Linked DNA regions of Sus scrofa. The protein of the gene in region 1 interacts with the protein of each later gene in a pairwise test. Links are inferred from orthologs where the notes say so. Each region holds a gene or a part of one and is shown on either strand. Other genes may lie near its edges. The genes, in order: PTPN11 and TLK1.

Evidence for each region.
Region 2: the proteins of PTPN11 (region 1) and TLK1 interact in binary tests that used the Homo sapiens proteins (3 or more experiments, as listed by UniProt). The link is inferred for Sus scrofa from reciprocal best matches to the Homo sapiens genes PTPN11 and TLK1.

Annotation. Positions count from the first base shown.
Region 1 is NC_010456.5:39,286,940-39,297,748, reverse strand, and holds the start of PTPN11 (tyrosine-protein phosphatase non-receptor type 11), read left to right. Parts: upstream 1-5,709; 5' UTR 5,710-5,931; coding exon 5,932-5,945; intron 5,946-10,809. UniProt on the Homo sapiens protein: Acts downstream of various receptor and cytoplasmic protein tyrosine kinases to participate in the signal transduction from the cell surface to the nucleus. Positively regulates MAPK signal transduction pathway. Dephosphorylates GAB1, ARHGAP35 and EGFR.
Region 2 is NC_010457.5:77,214,294-77,224,601, forward strand, and holds part of TLK1 (serine/threonine-protein kinase tousled-like 1), read right to left. Parts: intron 7,271-10,308; coding exon 7,160-7,270; intron 7,046-7,159; coding exon 6,909-7,045; intron 4,993-6,908; coding exon 4,804-4,992; intron 1-4,803. UniProt on the Homo sapiens protein: Rapidly and transiently inhibited by phosphorylation following the generation of DNA double-stranded breaks during S-phase. This is cell cycle checkpoint and ATM-pathway dependent and appears to regulate processes involved in chromatin assembly.

The DNA.
Region 1 (10,809 bases):
CTGCACCCAAAGCATATGGAAGTTTCCAGGCTAGGGGTCGAATGAGAGCTGCAGCTGCTGCCTTACACCACAGGCAGAGCAATAGCAGATCCTTAACCGACTGAGTGGGGCCAGGGATTGAACAGGAGTCCTCATGTATACTAGTCAGGTTCATTACCACTGAGCCACAATGGGAACTCCTCTCTTTACCTTTTTAAAAGTGTGAATACTAGAAATTTTAACATTACATACATGGCTCACATTATATTGGACAATCAGTGCTGGTCTAGAGGGATGTCCATTACATATTAAGAGAAAAAATAAATCATAAAGTTTTATTTTTATATATACACACACATGGAGTTCCCTGGTGGCTCAGCAGGTTAAGAATCTAGAGTTGGAGTTCCCATCGTGGCTCAGTGGTTAATGAATCTGTCTAGGAACCATGAGGTTGCAGCTTCGATCCCTGGCCTTGCTCAGTGGGTTGAGGATCTGGTGTTGCCGTGAGCTGTAGTGTAGGTCAAAGACACGGCTCGGATCTGGTGTTGCTGTGGCTGTGGTGTAGGCCGGCAGCTACAGCTCCAATTTGACCCCTAGCCTGGGAACCTCCGTATGCTGTGGGTGCAGCCCCAGAAAAGACAAAAAAAAAAAAAAAAAAAAAAAGAATCTGGAGTTGCTGCCACTATGCCATAGGCCACAATTTCTGTGGGGGTTCCATCCCTAGCTTGGGAACTTCCACATGCCTTGAGTGTGGCCAGAAAAAAAAACTTCCCATATATGTTATGTGTGTGAATGAGCAGGATGTGTAATATATGTGTGTGTTCATATAGGTATAGAGAAAAGTGTGGAAGGATTGACACCAAATTTTTTTTTTCTTTTTAGGGCCCACCTGTGGCATATCCATACTCATGGATACTAGTCAGGTTCGTTACTGCTGCGCCACCACAAGAACTCTGACACCAAGTTAATGCTGATGGGGGTTGGGGTAGGGAGGTTGTATACATTGTGAAGCAGGGAAAATTACTATTTTTATTTGGCCTGTTACAAGGAGCTTGTATTGTTTTTGTTGTTGAGAAAGAAATTAAAATAAAGTATATCTAAATGACTATTTCTTAAGCTTATTATATGCCAGGCCCTGTGTTAGGCTCTGGGCATATGAAGATGCAGAAGGCAATGAGTTTAAGAGGAGCTCCTAATCTAGGGGAAGAGACAGAGAAGTCAACCAACAATGACACTGAACTGTGTTAGGGGCCAAAAGAAGCATAAACATGCAGCTCCCAAATCATAGGGAGAGACTCCAAAGCCTCTGCTTTATTCTAAGTAGTCAAGAGTTTTGTGCTGTGCATGTTTCCTGGAGAAGCTTATTGAGTTGAAGTGGAATCTTGCAGGATGCTTGGTTTTTTAGATGGAGACCATTTGAAAAGGTATTTCAGACAAAAATAACTAAATTTTGGTAGACAGGGATACAAGAAACAGCCAGAGGCATTTGGTAGATAGGGATACAAGAAACAGCCAGAGGCATATGTGAGGGAGTAGAGGTAAATGAAACTGACCAGGTAGGCATAGTTCATGTTTAGAAGGGCCTGATGTGTTAATGGAAGCATTTTCTTTCTTCCTTTTTTTTTTGGTGGCAGGGGTGGGGGGCACCTGTGGTATGTGGAGGTTCCCAGGCTAGGGTCAAACTGGAGCATGGGAGCTGTAGCTGGTGGCCTACGCCACAGCCACAGCAATGCCAGATCTGAGCCACATCTGCAACCTACACCACAGCTCATGCCAACGCTGGATGCTTAACCCACTGAGGAAGGCCAGGGATTGAACCTGCATCTTCATGGATCCTAGTCAGGTTTGTTAACCGCTGAGCCACGATGGGAGCTCCAGGTGATTCTTCTTATTCTAGAGGAGATGACTTCCAGCCTGAGATCAGAGTTCACAGGGAGGGAGGTCAGAATCATCCAGGAACAGGGAGAAGATTGTTTAAAGGCTCTGAGCTGGGAGAGAACAATTGAGGGGAAATGGAAGTTATTCAGTATGGCTGGGTCACAGAATGCTTGGGGAGGGGAGCAGCTGGTTAAGTGAGCAGGGACCAGAACAGGTAGTTATGAATTTTTTTTTTTTTTGCTTTTTTTAGGCCGTACCTGCGACATATGGAGGTTCCCAGGCTAGGGGTCTGATCAGAGCTACAGCTGCCGGCCTACACCACAGCTACAGCAATGCAGGATCCGAGCTGCATCTGTGACCTACATCACAGCTCATGGCAATGCCAGATCCTTAACCCACTGAGCAGGGCCAGGGATCAAACCTGCAACCTCATGGTTCCTACTCGGATTTGTTTCCACTGTGCCATGACGGGAACTCCTGATCATTATTTTTTAATGGTCCCACCCAGGGCGCATGCAAGTTCCCTGGCCAGGGATTGAATCTGAGTCATAACTTTGACCCAGGCAGCAGATGTGGCAATGCTGGATCCTGTGGGGATCAAACCTGAGACTCCTCAACAACCTGAGTCACTGCAGTCAGATTCTTAGCCCACTGTACAACAGTAGGAACTGTGTAAAAAAAAATTTATTTTTGGTCTTTTTTGGGCTGAACCCACGGCACATGGAGGTTCCCAGGCTAGGGGTCCAATCAGAGCTATAGCCTCTGGCCTACGTCAGAGCCACGGCATCCTGGGATCCAAGTGGCATCTGTGACCTACAGACCACGCTCACAGCAACATTGGATCCTTAACCCACTGGGTGAGGCCAGGGATCGAACCCTTGTCCTCATGGATGCTATGAGGGTAACTCCCATAAAATTTTTTTTGATCGTATCCTAAAAGTAAAGAGAAGCCATTGAAATGTTGAATTTAAGGAGTGACTAGTTTTTTGTTTTAGATTACTGTGGCTGTTACATGGTGAATGGAGTGGAAAGGGCAAACCTGCAGGTCTGAGATCAGTCAGAATGTTGTTTGAGTCATTTGGGCAGCCAGGATTTAGGCGAATGGAAAGAAACAGGCTGGGCAACTGTTTGTTGAATGCCTGCAACCTACATCCAACTGGCATATATTAAAGGTGATTTTTATAAGGGTTTTTGGGTAACATTGAGGCTGAAGCAGTTAGCACATTTTATGACAGTTCTTTGTATTAGAGTGAGATGACTAGCAGTGGAAGGAAAAAATGAGGATTTTGGATGATGTGAGTTTGAATTCTGGCACTGCCACTAACTAGATCTGTGGCCATTAATGAGCCACACAGGCATTCATCAGATAAAAACTCTGTCTTCTCACTGCGGTCTAAGCTGCTATCATCTCTAGCCTGGAATTACAGTATTTTAATATTCTGAACTGGTCTCTATTTCTAGCCTTGCCCTCTTGATTCACTTAATCAAAGTACCAAAGTAATACTTTTTTTCCCCCGCTTCTTAGGGGTGCACCTGCAGCACATGGAAGTTCCCGGGCTAAGGTTTGAATCAGAGCTGCAGCTACTGGCCCTCACCACAGCCATAGCCACAGCAATGCGGGGTCCTAGCGGTGTCTGCAACCTACACCACAGCTCATGGCAACACCAGATCCTTAACCCACTGAGCAAGGCCAGGTGTCATACCCGCAACCTCATGGTTCCTAGTTGGATTCGTTTCTGCTGCACCACAATGGGAACTCCCTTATATTCCTTTTCTAATATTTCTTTGTTAGTATACAGAACTGCAACTGATTTCTGAATGTTAATCTTTTTTTTTTCTTTTTTTTTGCCTTTTCCAGGGCTGCACCCGAGGCATATGGAGGTTCCCAGACTAGGGGTCCAATCGGAGCTATAGCTGCTGGCCTACGCCATGGCCACAGCAACGTGGGATTCGAGCTGCATCTGTAAACTACACCACAGCTCACAGCAACGCCAGATCCTTAACCCACTCAGCAAGGCCAGGGATTAGAACCCGCAACCTCATGGTTCTTAGTCAGATTCGTTAACCACTGAGCCATGATGGGAACTCCTCTGAATGTTAATCTTATATTCTGCTATTTGCTGAATTTGTTGATCAGTTCGAGTCGTTTTTGGGTTGAGTCCTTAGGGTTTTCTATGTATAGTATCATGTCATCATCTGCATACAGTGACAATTTTACCTCTTCTCTCCCAATTTGGACACCTTTTATTTCTTTTGTCTTATTGCTTTGTCTAGTACTTCCAATACTATGTTGAATAAAAGTGGTGCGAGTGGGCATCCTTGTCTTGTTCCCGATTTCAGTGGGAAGGCTTTCAGCTTTTCTCCATTGGGTATTATATTTGCTGTAGATTTGTCATAAATGGCTTATTATTATGTTAAGGTATATTCCCTCTACACTCACTTTGATAAGAGTTTTTATCATGAATGGGTGTTGAATTTTGTCAAATGCTTTTTCTGCATCTATTGAGATGATCGTGTGGTTTTTTTTTTTTCCCACCATACAGCAAGGGGATCAAGTTATCCTTACATGTATACATTTTTTCCCCCACCCTTTGTTCTGTTGCAATATGAGTATCTATACATAGTTCGATCGTGTGGTTTTTGACTTTTCTTTTGTTGATGTGGTGTACGACATTGATTGATTTGCATATGTTGAACCATCCTTGTGATCCTGGGATGAATCCCACTTGGTCATGGTGTATAATCTTTTTTATGTTTTTGGATGCAGTTGGCTAAAATTTTGTTGAAAATTTTGGGGTCTGTATTCATCAAAGATATTGGCCTATAGTTTTCTTTTTTGTTAACATCTTTGTCTGGTTTTGGTATTAGGATGATGGTGGCATCATAGAATGTCTTTGGGAGTGTTCCTTCTTCAAACTTTTGGAAAAGTTTAAGGATGGGTATAAGTTCCTCTTTGTATGTTTGGTAGAATTCACCTGTGAATCCATCTGGTCCTGGACTTTCATTTATAGGGAGTGTTATCATTTCCTACTACTCTCCTTATATTTCCTATACCCTTCCCACCTCCTACTGTGCTCCAGGCAGAGATTTCTTCATTTTCCCTCCTGCCTCCTGCCTCAGGCCCTTTGCAATGGCCTCTCCCTGTGCTTGAAATGCTCTTCCCCTAAATTATTCTGTCTATTTCTACATCAGATCTTTACTCAAACGTTATCCTTAGTGATAACGTTATCCTTTAAAATAACATAAACGGCTATGGAGAAAAGAAGGGAAATGAGGATGGGAGTATTTCTCTTGATTACTATGGCTCCTATCACAAGAACACCGGGATTTTTGTCTTTTCATCCCCATAGTCAAAAATAGAGCCTAGCAGATAGAAAACACTTGCATGTTTACTTCCAATAAAGCACTTAATAGGCCAGGCCTCGTTCTAAACATTTTACATTTTTAATTCTCCCCATAAACCTAAGAAGAAAATACAATTCTCGTTGTACAGAAATGAAGGAATGGAGGAAACAGCCTCAGAGAAATCAAGCAGTTTTCCCAAGGTTACATATCTGGAGCGAAGCGGCTGTTTGTAGAATGAAATGAATGAAATTCGACTTGACGGCGCAGGAATGGAAATCCACGCGGTGGGAGTGGATGCGATCAATTCCTGTGAGCGCGTGAGACTTTGAGCGCACAGCACAGGCCCCGCTGTGAAGGCCTAAAGGAGGAGGTGAGGGTACTTTGGGAACTGCACGGCAGCTGCTTCGCCGAACCACTAAATTGCCATAACCAGTTGCAGATCAGCCCCGGCTGACTGGAAGCAGGAAGTAGCGGCCGGCGTCGCGCGGGGTGACGTCATGGTGGCGCCGGCGCCGAGGGGCGGGGGAGAAGGAGGAGCGAACCGAGGTTGGGGGGCGGCTGCACAGTCCCCGGGATCCCCAGGCCTGGAGGGGGGTCTGCGCGCGGCCGGCTGGCACTGCCCCCCGTCCGGTCCCGAGCGGGCCTCCCTCGGGCCAGCCCGATGTGACCAGGCTCAGTGGAGCCTGAGCAAGGAACCGGTCCGTCGCGGAGCCGGAGAGCGGGAGGAACATGACATCGCGGAGGTGAGGAGCCCCGAGGGCCCAGCCTGGGCCTCAGCCCCGCACCCCCCCCGCGCCGCGTTTGGTCTGCCCGGCCTGGGAAGGGGCGGCCGGGCCAGGCTTCGGACTCCGGCCCGGGGTCGCGGGGGCAGGATCTGTCCCAACTCCCTGTCCCTCCTGGGCCCCAGGGCCCGGCCCCACCGCGCCCCCACCCCTCGCGTCCTCATTCATTTCCTGCCTCCCCGAGTTCCGGCTCCTGCAGCCCTGGGGATGCCCGTCTGGACAGGGGCAGGTAGAGCCGCCCCAGGAACCGCGGACGCCAGCGGCCCGGCTCGGCGCCGCATTCCTGACCCATTGCCTCATGAGAATTGCCTCATGGTGATTCCGAAATAACCCCGCTCACTTGGGGAGGCTCCTCGGTCCGGGACGCGGGAGGGGAGAGGAGGGAGTTGCGCGGGGCCGGGCCCCAGTTGATCGAGCGGCTCTGGGTCACTACTTTTTGCGCGCATTCGGGGGCTTTACTCAGGATCCCTGACCCCTTTACATGCCTTTTTGCATCCCGTCCCCCCGACTACTCACGTGCCAGAAATGGAAAAACTGACTGTATCTACAGCTATTAGAAGTATTTCCTTCCTCTGCGATCTTCTCTTTGGGAGATTGGAGGGCAGGGAGCTCTGTCTCTAGTTATTTAATCCTTCACCACAACCGTAAATGTCTGGTAACATTAATCACCCCCGTTTTACGGATGTGTAAACTGAGGCTCAGAGGAAACATGATAGTAATAGGATTTGAACCGAAGAGTCCTCAGAGTAGTGAATTGAGATTCTTTGAAAGTTCAGTGTAGTTATACCATTAATAGCTAACATTTATTTAGCTCTTACTGTATGCCAGATACGTTTAATCCTTACTCTCAACCTATGAGATAGGTAGTGTTATCACCGTTCTAAAGATGAGTAAACTGAGTTTCAGAAGTTAGGCAACTTGCCTAAGGTCAGTCTATCAATAAGTAGTGGAACCAGAATCCCCACTGTTAATTACTAGGTTGCTATTATTGTTTCATAACTATTGCCAATCATTTGTAAGCCTTAATTTTGTTGTTAAACAGTAGTATGATCTGTTGTTTTCAGATAACGATCCTGCTATGTATTGCTACTTTTTATATACGATTCAAACATAAGATCCATTGTTTAGACTTTCCTTCATTGTCCTGTTATGGTCACTGTCTCAGACATTTGAAAAACTGTTTCAAGCTGTTAGAGTTATTTGAATGAGAGATTTCAAAATATTAGGAATGCTTTCTCAAAAACACCTGCATATTTTCCATTCATGGAATGAAAAGAGAAAGAAGAAAACTGAAAACTTAGAAAGTGAGTGCTTTGGACAGGTCTGTTGGCAAGTGCTTACAGATCTGGGTAATACATAATTGCATTTCAGCAGAACAGTGTATAGCCTCAAATGTGCTTATTCTTTAGGGAGCTTTTAAATAAAACAGTTGTCTATTCTTTAATCTGTCAAATAGTCATTGAGCCTTTTGTTCCTTGTGTCTGCTCTTCCAGACAAGTAAGGATCTGCTTCTTTTAGGAGACAAAAAGATTGGGGGCTGGGGCTGGGATAGGGGCTGGGTAGTAATAGACTCTACATTGTCTAGCTTGTTAGTTTAGAAGCCAGGAAGTGTGGTATAGCCAAAGCAGCAAGTGGTAAAGATGACAGCTTGAAATGGAGTAATTCCTTCTCTCCTCCAGCCCTCTCTTACCTGTTATGGAAAAGAAATGTGTGCCACCTAAAAGTCATATTATGAATATAACACACATAATTGGAAACTATTTATTTTTATTTTTCAGATAGATGTTTTATTTTTAACCAGCTTTATTGAGGTATAAACGACATAGGATAGATTGCATATATTTGTTTTTCTTTCTTTCTTTCTTTTTTTTTTTTTTTTTTTTTTTGTCTTTTTTGGCTGCCCTGCGGCATATAGAAGTTCCCTGGGCCAGGGATTACATCCAAGTCGAAGTTGTGACCTAAGCTGCAGCTGCGGCAACACAGGATTCTTAACCCACAGTGTCAGGCTGGGGATGGAACCTGTGTCCCAGTGCTCCCAAGACGCTGCCAGTACCGATGTGCCATAGCAGGAACTCCCAACTGCATATATTTAAGCATACAGTTTGAGAAGTTTTGACACATAGATACACTTGTAAAACCATCACCATAATTGAGATAATGGACATATCCATCACGCCTTGCCATGGCTCCTCAAGCCCTTTCTAATCCCTTCCTTCTCAGACAAACACTCTTCTGTTTTCTGTCCCTGTGTATTAGTTTGCATTTCCTAGAATTTTGTATAAATGGGCTTTGATGTATGGTTTCTTATGCTCAGCATAATTATGTTGAGATTCAACCATATTATAGTGTGTGTGTCAAATAGTTCATTACTTTTTATTGATTAGTAATATTCCATCGTATGGATGTACTGCCATCTATTTATCCACCTACCTGTTGCTGGACATTTGGGTTGTTTCAGAGTTTGGCCATCACAAATAAAGCTGCTCTGAATGTTGGTGTACAACTGTGTGTATAGCTGTGTACCTCATTCCTCTTTGGAAAATACCCATCAATGGTATGGCTGGTTCACATAGTAGATATATATTTAACTTTTTTAGGGGCGTTCCTGTTGTGGCTCAGTGGTTAATGAATCTGAGTAGGAACCATGAGGTTTCAGGTTCGATCCCTGACCTTGATCAGTGGGTTAAGGATCTGGCGTTACCGTGAGCTGTGGTATAGGTCCCAGGTGCGGCTTGCATCCTGTGTTGCTGTGGCTTTGGCGTAGGCTGGTAGCTACAGCTCTGATGAGACCCCTAGCCTGGAAACCTCCATATGCTGTGGGAGAGGCCCTAGAAAAGGCGCGCGCGCGCGCGCACACACACACACACACACACACACAAACTTTTCCAGAAATTGGCAGACATTTTCAGAATGTTTATACATGTACATTCCCACCAACAGTATGTTAGAGTTACAGTTCCTCCACATCCTGAACAACACTTGGTATGGTCCATTTTTAAATTTTAGCCATTTAAAAGGTATGTCGTATCTTGTGGGTTTTTTTTTTTTTTTTTTTTTTTTTCCCATGTTAGCACTTTAAAATTTTGAAATTTTGGAGTTCTTGCTGTGGTGCAATGGGATAGCCAGCATTTCTGGAGCACCTGGATGTGGGTTTGATCCCTGGCCTAGCACAGTGCGTTAAGGATCCAGCATTGCAACTGTGGCTTGGATCTGATCCCTGGTCTGGGACCTCAGTATGCCTCAGGGTGGCCAAAAAAGAAAAAAAAAAATTAAATTTTAATTGTACTCACTTAATATTTTAATTAAGGTGTAATTGACATATAACATTCTGTTGGTTTTAGGTATACAGTGTAATGATTTGATATTTATTCATTGTAGTTTTAATTTGTATTTTCTCCAATGACTAATAATGTTGATCATCTTTTCATGTGCTTGTGTGCCATCTTTGGTGACATGTCTATTTGATCAAATATTTTCCCTTTTTACCTGTTTATTTATTTATTAGTCGTGCCTGCGGCATGGAAGTTCCTGGGCCAGGGATCCAACCTGCACCACAGCAGTGACCCGGGCTGCTGCAGGGAAACACCAAATCCTTAACCTGCTGTACCACAAGGGAACTCCATATTTTCCCTTTTTAAAATTTACTTGTTTGTTTTATTATTGAAATTGGAGAGTTTTTTGTTCTGGAAACAAGTCTTTGATCAGAATTGCAAATATTTTCTTTTAGTCTGTGACGTCTTTTCATGTTTAAAATGGTGTTTTAAACAGGGTTTTTTTAAATTTTGATGACGTCCAGTTTATCATTTAAAAAAAAAGGATTATGCTTTTGGTGACATTTCTAAGAAATCTTTGCTTAACCCAAGATCTTTTTTTTTTTTTTTTTTTTTTTTTAAGCTATTTCTTGGGCCGCTCCCGCGGCATATGGAGGTTCCCAGGCTAGGGGTCCAAACGGAGCTGTAGCCACTGGCCTATGCCAGAGCCACAGCAACGCGGGTTCCGAGCCGTGTCTGTGACCTACACCACAGCTCACGGCAATGCCGGATTGTTAACCCACTGAGCAAGGGCAGGGATCGAACCCGCAACCTCATAGTCCCTAGTCGGATTTGTTAACCACTGTGCCACAATGGGAACTCCTGCTTAACCCAAGATCTTAAATGTTTTCTCTTGTTTCCTACAATTTTTATAGTTTTAGGTTTATGGTCCACTTTGAATTAACTTCTGTATGTGGCATGAGGTGTGGATGTATCTTCTCTTTTTCGCATATGGGTATCCAGTTGTTCCAGCACTATTTGTTGAAAAGACTTTCCATTTTTATTGAACTTGCACCTTTGTTGAAAATCATTTGTCCATTTATATGGGGGTCGTGGGTCTATTTCTGGACTCTAGTCTGTTCCATTGACTTGTCTTTCCACATGATCTTGATTACCATTGCATTATAATAAGTCTTGTCTTTTTTTGGGGGGGAGCTGCATCTGCGGCATATGGAGGTTCCCAGGCTAGGGGTCCAATTGGAGCCATAGCCGCTGGCCTATGCCAGAGCCACAGCAACGCAGGATCCAAGCCGTGTCTGTGACCTACACCACAGCTCAGGGCAATGCTGGATCCTTAACCCACTGATTGAGGCCAGGGATCTAACCCGAGTCCTTATGGATGCTAGTCGGGTTTGTTAACTGCTAAGCCACGACTGGATCTCCTAACAAGTCTTGAAACTAGATAGTGTTAGTTTTTTTTTTTTTTTTTTTTTTTGTCCAGGCTGGGCCTTGTAGAAGTTATAGGGGCAAAGATTGAACTCATGCCATAGCAGAAACCCAAGCAGTGACAACAC
Region 2 (10,308 bases), on another chromosome or scaffold:
TGTATTAATAATGTATAATTAAAGCAAGGATCATTTAGACATTATTCATAGATGAATATTATCATTATTCATAGTTATGCAAACTACTTGCTCTGAGTAAGTCTTTGTGACTAAAATGAGAGATCACTACCTAAAAAACTTGACTGAATCTTGCTGGTAGTTAAAAATTACTTAAAACGAGTTTCTGTTGTGGCTCAGCAGGTTAAAAATCCAACCTGTACCCAAGAGGATATGGGTTTGACACCTGGCCTCACTCAGGGTTAAGGATTCAGTGTTGCTGCAGGCTGCAGCGTAGGCTGCAGGTGTGGCTCAGATCTGGCGTTGCTGTGGCTGTGGCGCAGGCCAGCAGTTGAAGCTCTGATTCGACCCCTAGCCTGGAAACTTTCATATGCCATAGGTGCAGCCCTAAAAAGAAGAAAAAAAGAAATTAAAGAGCCAGGAACCATGTAAGTACTTCACAAGAATCACATCATGTCATCCTTTCAACATTATGATGAATACTCTAAGAAATAAAAACAGCTTACCAAAAAAAACCACCCGGAAGAGTTAAGGTTGGATTCCACATCTATCCAACTACAGAGCTTTTAATCCTAACCACCACACAGAAGTCACTTTATTTTCTCAGTTAATTTCTTCTTTCTTCTTGGCCATACCCACACCACAGGGGCAACTAGAGCCACAGTAGCAGAAATGCCATATCCTTAACCCACTGAGACACCAGAGAATTCCTATGTTAATTGCTTGACAGAAAAATAAAAATTCATGACCTCTAATCATCTCATCATTCTACATATTCTGTATACAAAGCAAAGCTTAATTTTCACTAAACAGTGATTCAAAAGCATAAGACAGCTGCAGAGTAAAATCAAAATAATATATATCAATCAAAGTGTTACTGTGGCTTCTTTCCCTATTTAAATCTGCACTGTACAGGGATGTAGTCCAACTGCTATATAGTTATCTCTTCATTTGTGACTCCAAAAACACATAGCAGTGTAAATTCAGGGTTAGTAAGAAGTCAAAAAATGCAATAAAATGAGATAGGAATGAGACAATCTTAGATTAATAAACTACAGTTAGGGCTGTTAGCATCTTGGAAGACAAGTGGGAAGCACAATAACCGTGACAAATTAGAAAAATAGTCTACAGAGGAGAAAATGAAATTCAATCAAATGCTTATGTACTATAATTTAGTATTTATTGACCACTTTCCATATGCCAGGAACTGTACTAGATATTGAGAGTATAGAGATAAAATGGTAAGATAAATGCTATAATATTGATAGACATGTATAAATGGCTATGGGCACCTAACTTGAGGGGAAAGCAGAACAACTGGAAAGAAAAAAGGACAAAGAGGATTTCCTATTGAAATTGGCATTTGAAGCAAACCTTAGAGGAGGAGAAGGAAATGAGAGAGGTAAAGAAAGGCAAGGAACATGATGTACAAAGGCACAGAAACAAAACGGCACAATCCATTTAGAGAACTGAAAGAGTTTAACATAGGATAATAGGGCAGACATTGGAGAGTGAGAGAAATAAGAAGGCTATACAGCATCTTCACGAGAGAGAATTTTACCTTCAGGCCGGTGAATGAGGTTAAACATGAAAGTGACATGATGAGACACGTAAGTAACAGTAATCTAAGTTAAGGGGGGGGTGCAGTCCTACAGCAAGACAGTGGCAATGAAGATGGACAGATACAAAACTGTTGGGAATAGACACAGAGAACACGGAAAAGACAAACATCTAGGACGTTTCTAGCATGATTAACTGAATGAATGATGATGGTGTGACAGAAGACAAAGAAGGCACTATGGCAATACCTCCAAGTGAAAACTAATTCTTATCCTTTGAGGGTCAAAGAAAAACTTTCATGAGGAGGAAATACCTAGTATGGGATTTAAAAGGTGAACAGAAATTAAGACAACGGGTTGGAGTTTAAAAGTTGGTGGCGAGTAGGAGGCACTCACCAGTGCCTTTTATCAGCAATAAAAGATGAGGCTAGAGAGGTCAGAAGCTACCAGATCAAAAATGCTTTATAAGCTTTTTAAGACTTTTGGATTATGTCCTTCAAACGATGGAGAGCTGTGTTACGTTTAAAAGGAAGAAAAATAAAATCACATTTTTATTTGGGAAAAAAGACTCTGCAAGATGAAAATGGATTGGAGGACTAGAATAAAGCTGAAAAATGAGGGGGGTGGTGGGGGTGAGAAGAGATAACCCAAATGAGAGATAACAGTGGACACATTTGAGCTCCTGAAGATTGGGTGTCTGGGGATGGAGTTGAAGCTAACATACAATTTCTTCTATATAACAGCTCATCTATCCATCCAACTTTTTTTTTTTCCTTTTTTACAGCTCAGTTCCTTTTTTTACGGCTGCAGTTGCTGGCCTACCGCAAAGCTTGTAGAAAAGCCGAATCCTTAACCTACTGAGTGAGGCCAGGGATTGAACCCACATCCTCATAGACACTGTGTTGGGCTCTTAACCTGCTGAGCCACAATGGGAACTCCCTCCATCCACCTTTTTAAAGCAATAAATTTACTGATTTATGAAAAGTAACTCATTAAGTTTTTTTAAATCAATAGTGAAATGATTTAATTCTAACTTAAAATAGTCCCCCCTCCCCCCAAAAAAATTTAGGAAAGGCATGAAGAAGTATATTAGTAGATTTTAGTCTTTTCCCCCTTTTTGGTTGTACCAACAGCATGCGGAAGGTCCTAGACCGAGGACTGAAACTAGACTTTAAAATATAAGATTATTACCACCTATTAGTGAAAAAAAAAATGAAAATAGAGTAAGAAAAATAAATGGAATCTGGATCTAAAAAGCTAAGGGTGACAACCAGAATTCTGGCATGAGGAACCGAAAAAATGATAGTACCATTTATTAACAAAGAAAACACAGGAGAAGGCAATGTGGGGGAGGGTATGGAGAGAGACTTAAATAGTTAATAAGTATAGTTTAATTTTCTGTGTTTAGTAAATACACTTTTGAATAGGCTATATTAGAGGCCCTGTGAGGCACTTAAATACCAATATCAACTAAGCAATGAGATGACATTAAAGACTAAAATACAAACAGTTGATACTCAAGAGAGAAAAGAAGGCTGGAAACAGAAATTTGGAGGCAACAGCATAAACAAGGTAACTGAAACCCTAGGAGTAGCTAATACTCAAGGAGAATACATAGAGTAAGAGGTAAGATGGCCTAGGACAAAGTCTTAAAAGCTCTACATTTTACAAACTGCTACAGTAAATGATGTCTATAGAAGAGAATGAAAGGACCGCGCCAGATAAGTTAAAATGAAAATTAGGAAAACAAGCTTATTTCAAAAACTAGGTCTAAAGAGTCTTTTGAGGGAAAAAAAAAGTAAACAATATCCAATGCTGCTAAGGTAAAAACTGGTTATAGTATTTAGATCAAGGATACAATCTTTAAAAGAACAATTTCAGTTAAGAAAAGAGAATGGCAAGTGAAGCAGAAAAGACTGGAAGCACAAGCAAATCTCTCAGGAAATCTAGTTATAAAGATGACAGAATATGGAGACTAGAGAGATTTAAAATTATGTAAGAGATGTTTTGTTTTGTTTCCTAAAAGGAAGGAACAAGTAGAGATCAAAGGGTTCAAGATGTAAGATAAAGGAAGTATCAACAGGAGATCCCTGATGTAGCAGGTGATGGGATTCAAATCATAGATAAAACATTCTCTCTCGACAAAAGAGAAACATGTAAAATACAAGCAGAAGGTGTGGGTATGTATTTTCTATTCATAAACTTACACAAAGTCTTACAGAATGGAAAAATTATATATTTTAGGTTGCATCTGTACAATGAAATTTTTGTTTGTTTGTTTGCTTTTTAGGGCTGCACTTGCGGCACATGGAGGTTCCTGGGCTGGGGTCAAAGTGGAGCTACAGCAGCCGGCCTACACCACAGCCACAGCAATGCTGGATCCAAGCCTCTTCTGCAACCTACACTACAACTCATGGCAACACCGGATCCTTAACCCACTGAGCAAGGCTAGGGATTGAACCCACAACCTCATGGTTTCTGGTTGGATTCGTTTCTGCTGCGCCACAATGGGAACTCCAAAAAATTTTGTTTAGCCATGCTGGTAGCATGCAAAAGTTTCCAAGTCAGGGATCAAACCCGCACCACAGCAGTGACAAAGCTGGATTCTTAACCCATTGAGCCACCAAGGAACTCCTGTACACTTAAATTTTAACAATAGTATTCTCTGTGGGATTGGGTCATAGTCTACACTGTTTTATCATGCTCTTTCATATTTTCCAAACTTTCTACAGTAAGCATATATACTTTTTAAAAATGGCATTGTCTTTTGAATTATAAAGAGTGATTCATTATTAAATCAGATAACCTAGAGAACAAAGGAAAGCAGAAAAGGGAAAAAAGTAATACCTACAACCTCCAAATGTGCTGCTTTCATAGGTTGAGAAAATATGTCAGTTACATTACTCAACATTCTCTTAGAAAAAGGAACATTAATAGGAACACTGAATTGGAATAATCAAAATGGATAACTAGCTCTATCATTCCGACCTGGAATAAAGAGTGGGTTCCAGCCTCCTCTTAGCTACCTAAGATTCCATTTTAAAAGCGGATTAGTAAATTTCCACTTACTAAGGTAGAACACAGGTATTTAGGGCTTATCAGTAATCTAGAGGTAGATCTTTTCAATACTGCCTTCCTTCTTAGCCATAAAATTACTATCCATTACTAACATTCATGCTCACTGGCAATGATTTAAAAAAAAAGAAAATTAAAAAGGCAGGCTTACAATTGTGGTAAATTTGGTCTAACAAAAGGATCATTTTCTGCTCCATTGACTGCTTTATTTTTCCTTTGTTTTGGTTCAGAATTGGTAGAGGGTGCCTGAGAATTATTAGCTGTGGGAGGTTTGCGTTTGGCTAGAAGTTTCCTTTGCCTTTCAATATCTTCCCTTTGCTGATTCACCCATTCTTGTTGCCTGCATAAAAAAATAAATGTAATAACAATATTAACCTTCCATTACTTTTAAAACATGAAAACACATTAGTAAACCTTAAAAATGATATAATACAAATTTGTAACCTTATGGTCTACCTGGTGAACCAACTTGTTCTCATTGTCCAGGTCTCATTTGAAACATTCATTTCTAAATGAGGTCTTCCCTAAACCCCCTGGACTAGGGAAAGATGTGTGGCCATATATAATGTCACGGTACCTTGCAGCTTACCACTATTCTTTTCAGCAAGTATTCCTAGAGACACTTGATCAGAATGTGTCTGGTTAGGCTACACCAATCCATAAAAATAGAGATCACAACTATTTTATACTCATTGTATCCCAAGTGCCCAGCACAGTGACTGGTGCATGCTAGGCATTCAATAAATACTTGCTTTTTGTTTGTTTGCCTTTTTAAGGCCACACCCGTGGCATATGGAAGTTCCCAGGTTAGGGGTCAAATAGGAGCTGTAGGTGCCAGCCAGTCACAGCCAAAGCCAAGCCAGGTCTTCACAGCAATGCCAGATCCTTAAACCACTGAGAGAGGCCAAGGATAGAACCCGTGTCCTCATGGGTACTAGCTGGGTTCTTAACCCACTGAACCACAATGGGAATTCCCAATTTTATTCTTTTTTTTTTGACAGCTTAATGGAGAAATTCTAACTAGCAGAGTTTATACTTAAGATTTATATTTAGAGTTATATTATGTAGTTTTCTCTTTTAAACATTACCAGGACAACTGTAGGTCTGGGTTTTGCAGCTCATAAAACACTCAAAATTTTTAAGTTCCGTCTCAACTGTATCTCCTACTCTCTACTTTTACTATTAATAGTTTAGCTCAAGCCTAACCATCTTTCATTCGGATGCTTCTCCATCTGAACTGTCAACAATTTATTACATTATCCTCACATTACCATCTTTTTAAAGTTATATTTTAAAAAACTCAATTCTGACCTCATTCATTATATACAAAACTTTAACAGTTCCCCATTATCCACATAATTAAAATCCAAAAATTTCTGGAGTTCCTGTTATGGCACAGCAGTAAATGAATCCAGCTAGGAACCATGAGGTTGCAGGTTCAATCCCTGGCCTCGCTTAGTGGGTTAAGGATCTGGCGTTGCCGTGAGCTGTGGTGTAGGCTGAAGATGCAGCTCAGATCCTGTGTTGCTGTGGCTGTGGCGTAGGCTGGCACCTGTGGCTAGATTCGACCCCTACTATGGGAACCTCCATATAATCCAGGTGTGGCCCTAAAGGGCAAAAAAAAAATCCCATTTCCTACCATCACAAAGACACTGTGCTTCATTATAGTATACCCAGTACAGTGTGTGGAACAAAAGCTGAATAAATCAATGGAGATAGAAGGCCATTCTGTGTTAAGGACTGGAGCCCAGGGTTTGAGACAGCAATTTTTTTGTGATACTGTATGAAATAAGCTTTGCCTCCATTTTCCATTTAACTGGACTGACTCTGATAAGGCTGATTTAAATGTTGGTACTACTCTTGCTTTTCAGGTTTCTAAAAGTTTTCCAGCAAAAAAAAAGGGAAGAGCATAGATCCCAGCTCCTTAACACATAAGCAGTCACCCAATTCTTACCTGCCACCATGTATACTCAAGAAAACATGCTAATGATTTCTCCATTTTAAAGTTCACCTCAGAATTTCAAAAGCCGCATGTACATCATACTATACGGTTGAATATGTTACTATATGGATGAATGTTAACCAATCGAAAAGTCTGCTAAAGCTAAAATTATAACATTTCTGTTTTAAGGCACTAAATTCTATGATTTCCAAGAGTAGTTAAGAAGCAGGACATAATTCCAAACCTATAATCTTTAAAAGTAATGAAAACCCAAAGGAATGCTAAATTTTTTGAAATATTTAAGAATGACTAACTTTACGAGATTCTGAAATGCAAAACCATCTGTCCATTGTTCAGTAAATGAAGCACCATGTCTAACTGTTGTAAAATGCCCAAGGCGTAATCGGTCTTGCATACTCTTCTCTCGGCTTGACAATTTTTCTTGTGTACTCTGAAAAAAGGGGGGAAAATCATCATTCAATTTTATTAATTTAAATTTTAAAAGCATACACGGTGAAAGGGACTGGTGAAAGGAAACAGAAATTTTATTAAGCTTTTAACTTACCTTTTCAATAAGCAGTTTCTTGCTCATTGATATACATTTATTTAATCGTTCTTTGTATTTTTCAAGTAATTTTTGTTGTTCATCTATCTGCCGTCTGAGATCACAGTTAGCCTACAAGCAGACAATGAGAAAAGGGCTAGAATTTTTGTATATGAGACACTTATGAATATTTGTACATTTTCAACAAATTACATAAAGAGAAGGATTAATAAGATTAAGTACTTGAGTATGAAACTAAAACAATCTGTTAAAACATCTACTTACCATGGGATAAGACTGTCATATGCTGCTTAATTGTGTAGTGGAAAGTACATGGAATTTGTACCCATACTCCATGGGTTCAAATCCACTCTCCAGTATACAATCTTGGCTGAGTTAAGTAAGTCATCTGAACCTTAGTTTAGTTTTCTTATTTCTAAAAGAGAGCAATACCATCTATCTCAATTAGTTAAAAATAACTAACACATATTAAAAGTGTTCAACACTTAAAAATGAGTTCTCTTCCATCATTTGTAACTAATAAAACTTTTTTCTCCGTTAAACTTGTGGATGACACTGCAGATGCCTATTCAATAGCTAACTATTCTCGTCATCTTTCTCAGCCATATGAATACCGACTTTGTTGGCTTTGTAGGCAGCCATATGCTCAGGGAAGGGGTTTCTCTCTTAGCTCAGAAGTTTGATTAGTCTAGTACAGTTCAGTCCAGAAAATAACCTAGAGAACTAGTTGAAACACAGCTTGCTTGGACCCATTTCCAGAGTCTGAGTTAGGAGGCCTGGAGGAGGGTCTGAAGTTTATTTCTAAAAAGCTGTCCAGTAATGCCGATGCTTCTGATCTGGGGGTCATTCTTTGAAAACCATAGGTCTAGCCCAATCATGCTGGAAGCAAAAAGACAGTGGTATAATAAGCTGAAAATGCTGGGACAAAATACAGCTGCCAACCGAAAAGCATATATTTAATAAAACTTTTTCACAGAAAGGGTAAAATAAAGATGCTTTCAGAGGAACAAAAATGGAATTCAGGAGTTCCCGTCGTGGCGCAGTGGTTAACGAATCCGACTAGGAACCATGAGGTTGCGGGTTCGGTCCCTGCCCCTGCTCAGTGGGTTAACGATCCGGCGTTGCCCTGAGCTGTGGTGTAGGTTGCAGACGCGGCTCGGATCCCGCGTTGCTGTGGCTCTGGCGTAGGCTGGTGGCTACAGCTCCGATTCAACCCCTAGCCTGGGAACCTCCATATGCCGCGGGAGCGGCCCAAGAAATAGCAACAACAACAACAAAAGACAAAAGACAAAAAAAAAAAAAAAAAAAAATGGAATTCAGCAACAGACCCTCATCATTATGTGCAATTCAAACAAAACTCCAACTGTGTTTGTCTGTACACATCCATGACTTGAAAAATGACTTGAACATTTCTCCAAGACTTGTGCAAAGGGCCAAAAATACCCAAAAAGAAGAAGATACTTGTTCAACCACACACCAATATTTAAAAGAAACCTATAGTAATTACAATCACTGAAGTATATTCTCTCTTTCTTCTTTAATAATGGAAAACAATGAGTTCCTTGGTGGCCTAGTGTGTTAAGGATCTGGCATTGTCACTGCTGTGGCATGGATTCAATCTCTGGCCCAGAAACTTCCATATGTTGTGGGTGCAACCAAAAAAGAAAAAAAGGAAAATTTTATATTTTATTCTGGATTAATATGTAAATAACTAAAAGACTGTTTCCCAGGATCCCTTGCAGCTAACACTGGTCAGTGAAATGTAGGCAGAAATTGTTCAATGGAATACCTAAGAAGACTGTACACAGAATTGTTGCACTTGTTATTTCCTTCCTCTTTTTGTTTTCTGCTTATGAACACAGATACCATAATTGTGACTATAATAAATATTTTACCTTGAAATGACCTTCAAGATGAATACCATGTGCTAAGGATGAGGGAGCTGAAAAACTGAAGGAGCCAAGATCCAATGACACTGTGGAGCCAGCACACCTTTCTATTCTTCCCTCAAAAAATAATATTTTATCTCATTTAAAGTACTGTTGTTTATGTTCTCTGTTACTAATAGCCAAAGACAACTGCTAAATGATAAAATGATGCTGTGGTACTAGTATTGGAATACACAAACAGAACATGGAACTTAGCACAGAACACAGAAATAGATCCACTTGTATAAAGAAAATGAGATTATATGATGGAGCAGGTGGTAAAGAGTAGACTGGTAATTACATAGTCTGGGCGACTGGTTATCTCTATAGAAAGAAATTAAAATGAAACTACTTCACAACACACTCAAAAATGAATTCCAGTGAGATTAACAATTCATATTGAAAAATCAGACTATAAAACTATTAAAACATGGAACATCTTTTATGATCTTCAGGAATAAAACATTTAATTCTTTTGGTATACCTTTGATCTGTGGCAAGGATAATGAGCAATAAGATTATTTCTTGCCCATTGCTGGTAGAGTGTAAAATGATCCAACCACCTTGGGAAAAAATTTGCCATTATAAAGTAGAGCTGAGGCAGCAGAAATAAATCTGACTAGCGTCCATGAGGACGCAGGTTCGATACCTGGCCTCGCTCAGTGGGTTAAGGACCTGGTATCACCATGAGCTGTGGTGGAGGTCACACATGCACATGCGGCTCGGATCCTGTGCTGCTGTGGCTGTGATGTAGGCCAGCGGCTACAGCTCCGATTCGACCACTAGCCTGGGAACTTCCATATGCTATGGGTGAGGCCCTAAAAAGACAAAAATAAAATAGATGGAGTTCCCGTCGTGGCGCAGTGGTTAACGAATCCGACTAGGAACATGAGGTTGCAGGTTCGGTCCCTGCCCTTGCTCAGTGGGTTAACGATCCGGCATTGCCGTGAGCTGTGAGCTGTGGTGTAGGTTGCAGACGCGGCTCGGATCCTGCGTTGCTGTGGCTCTGGCGTAGGCCGGTGGCTACAGCTCCGATTAGACCCCTAGGCTGGGAACCTCCATATGCCGCGGAAGCGGCCCAAAGAAATAGCAAAAAGACAAAAAAAATAAAAATAAATAAATAAATAAATAAATAAATAAAATAAAATAAAATAGAGCTGAGGATATGCATGCCTTGTACTCTGGCCACATCTCTCCTAAGCATAGACCGTAGAGAATTTT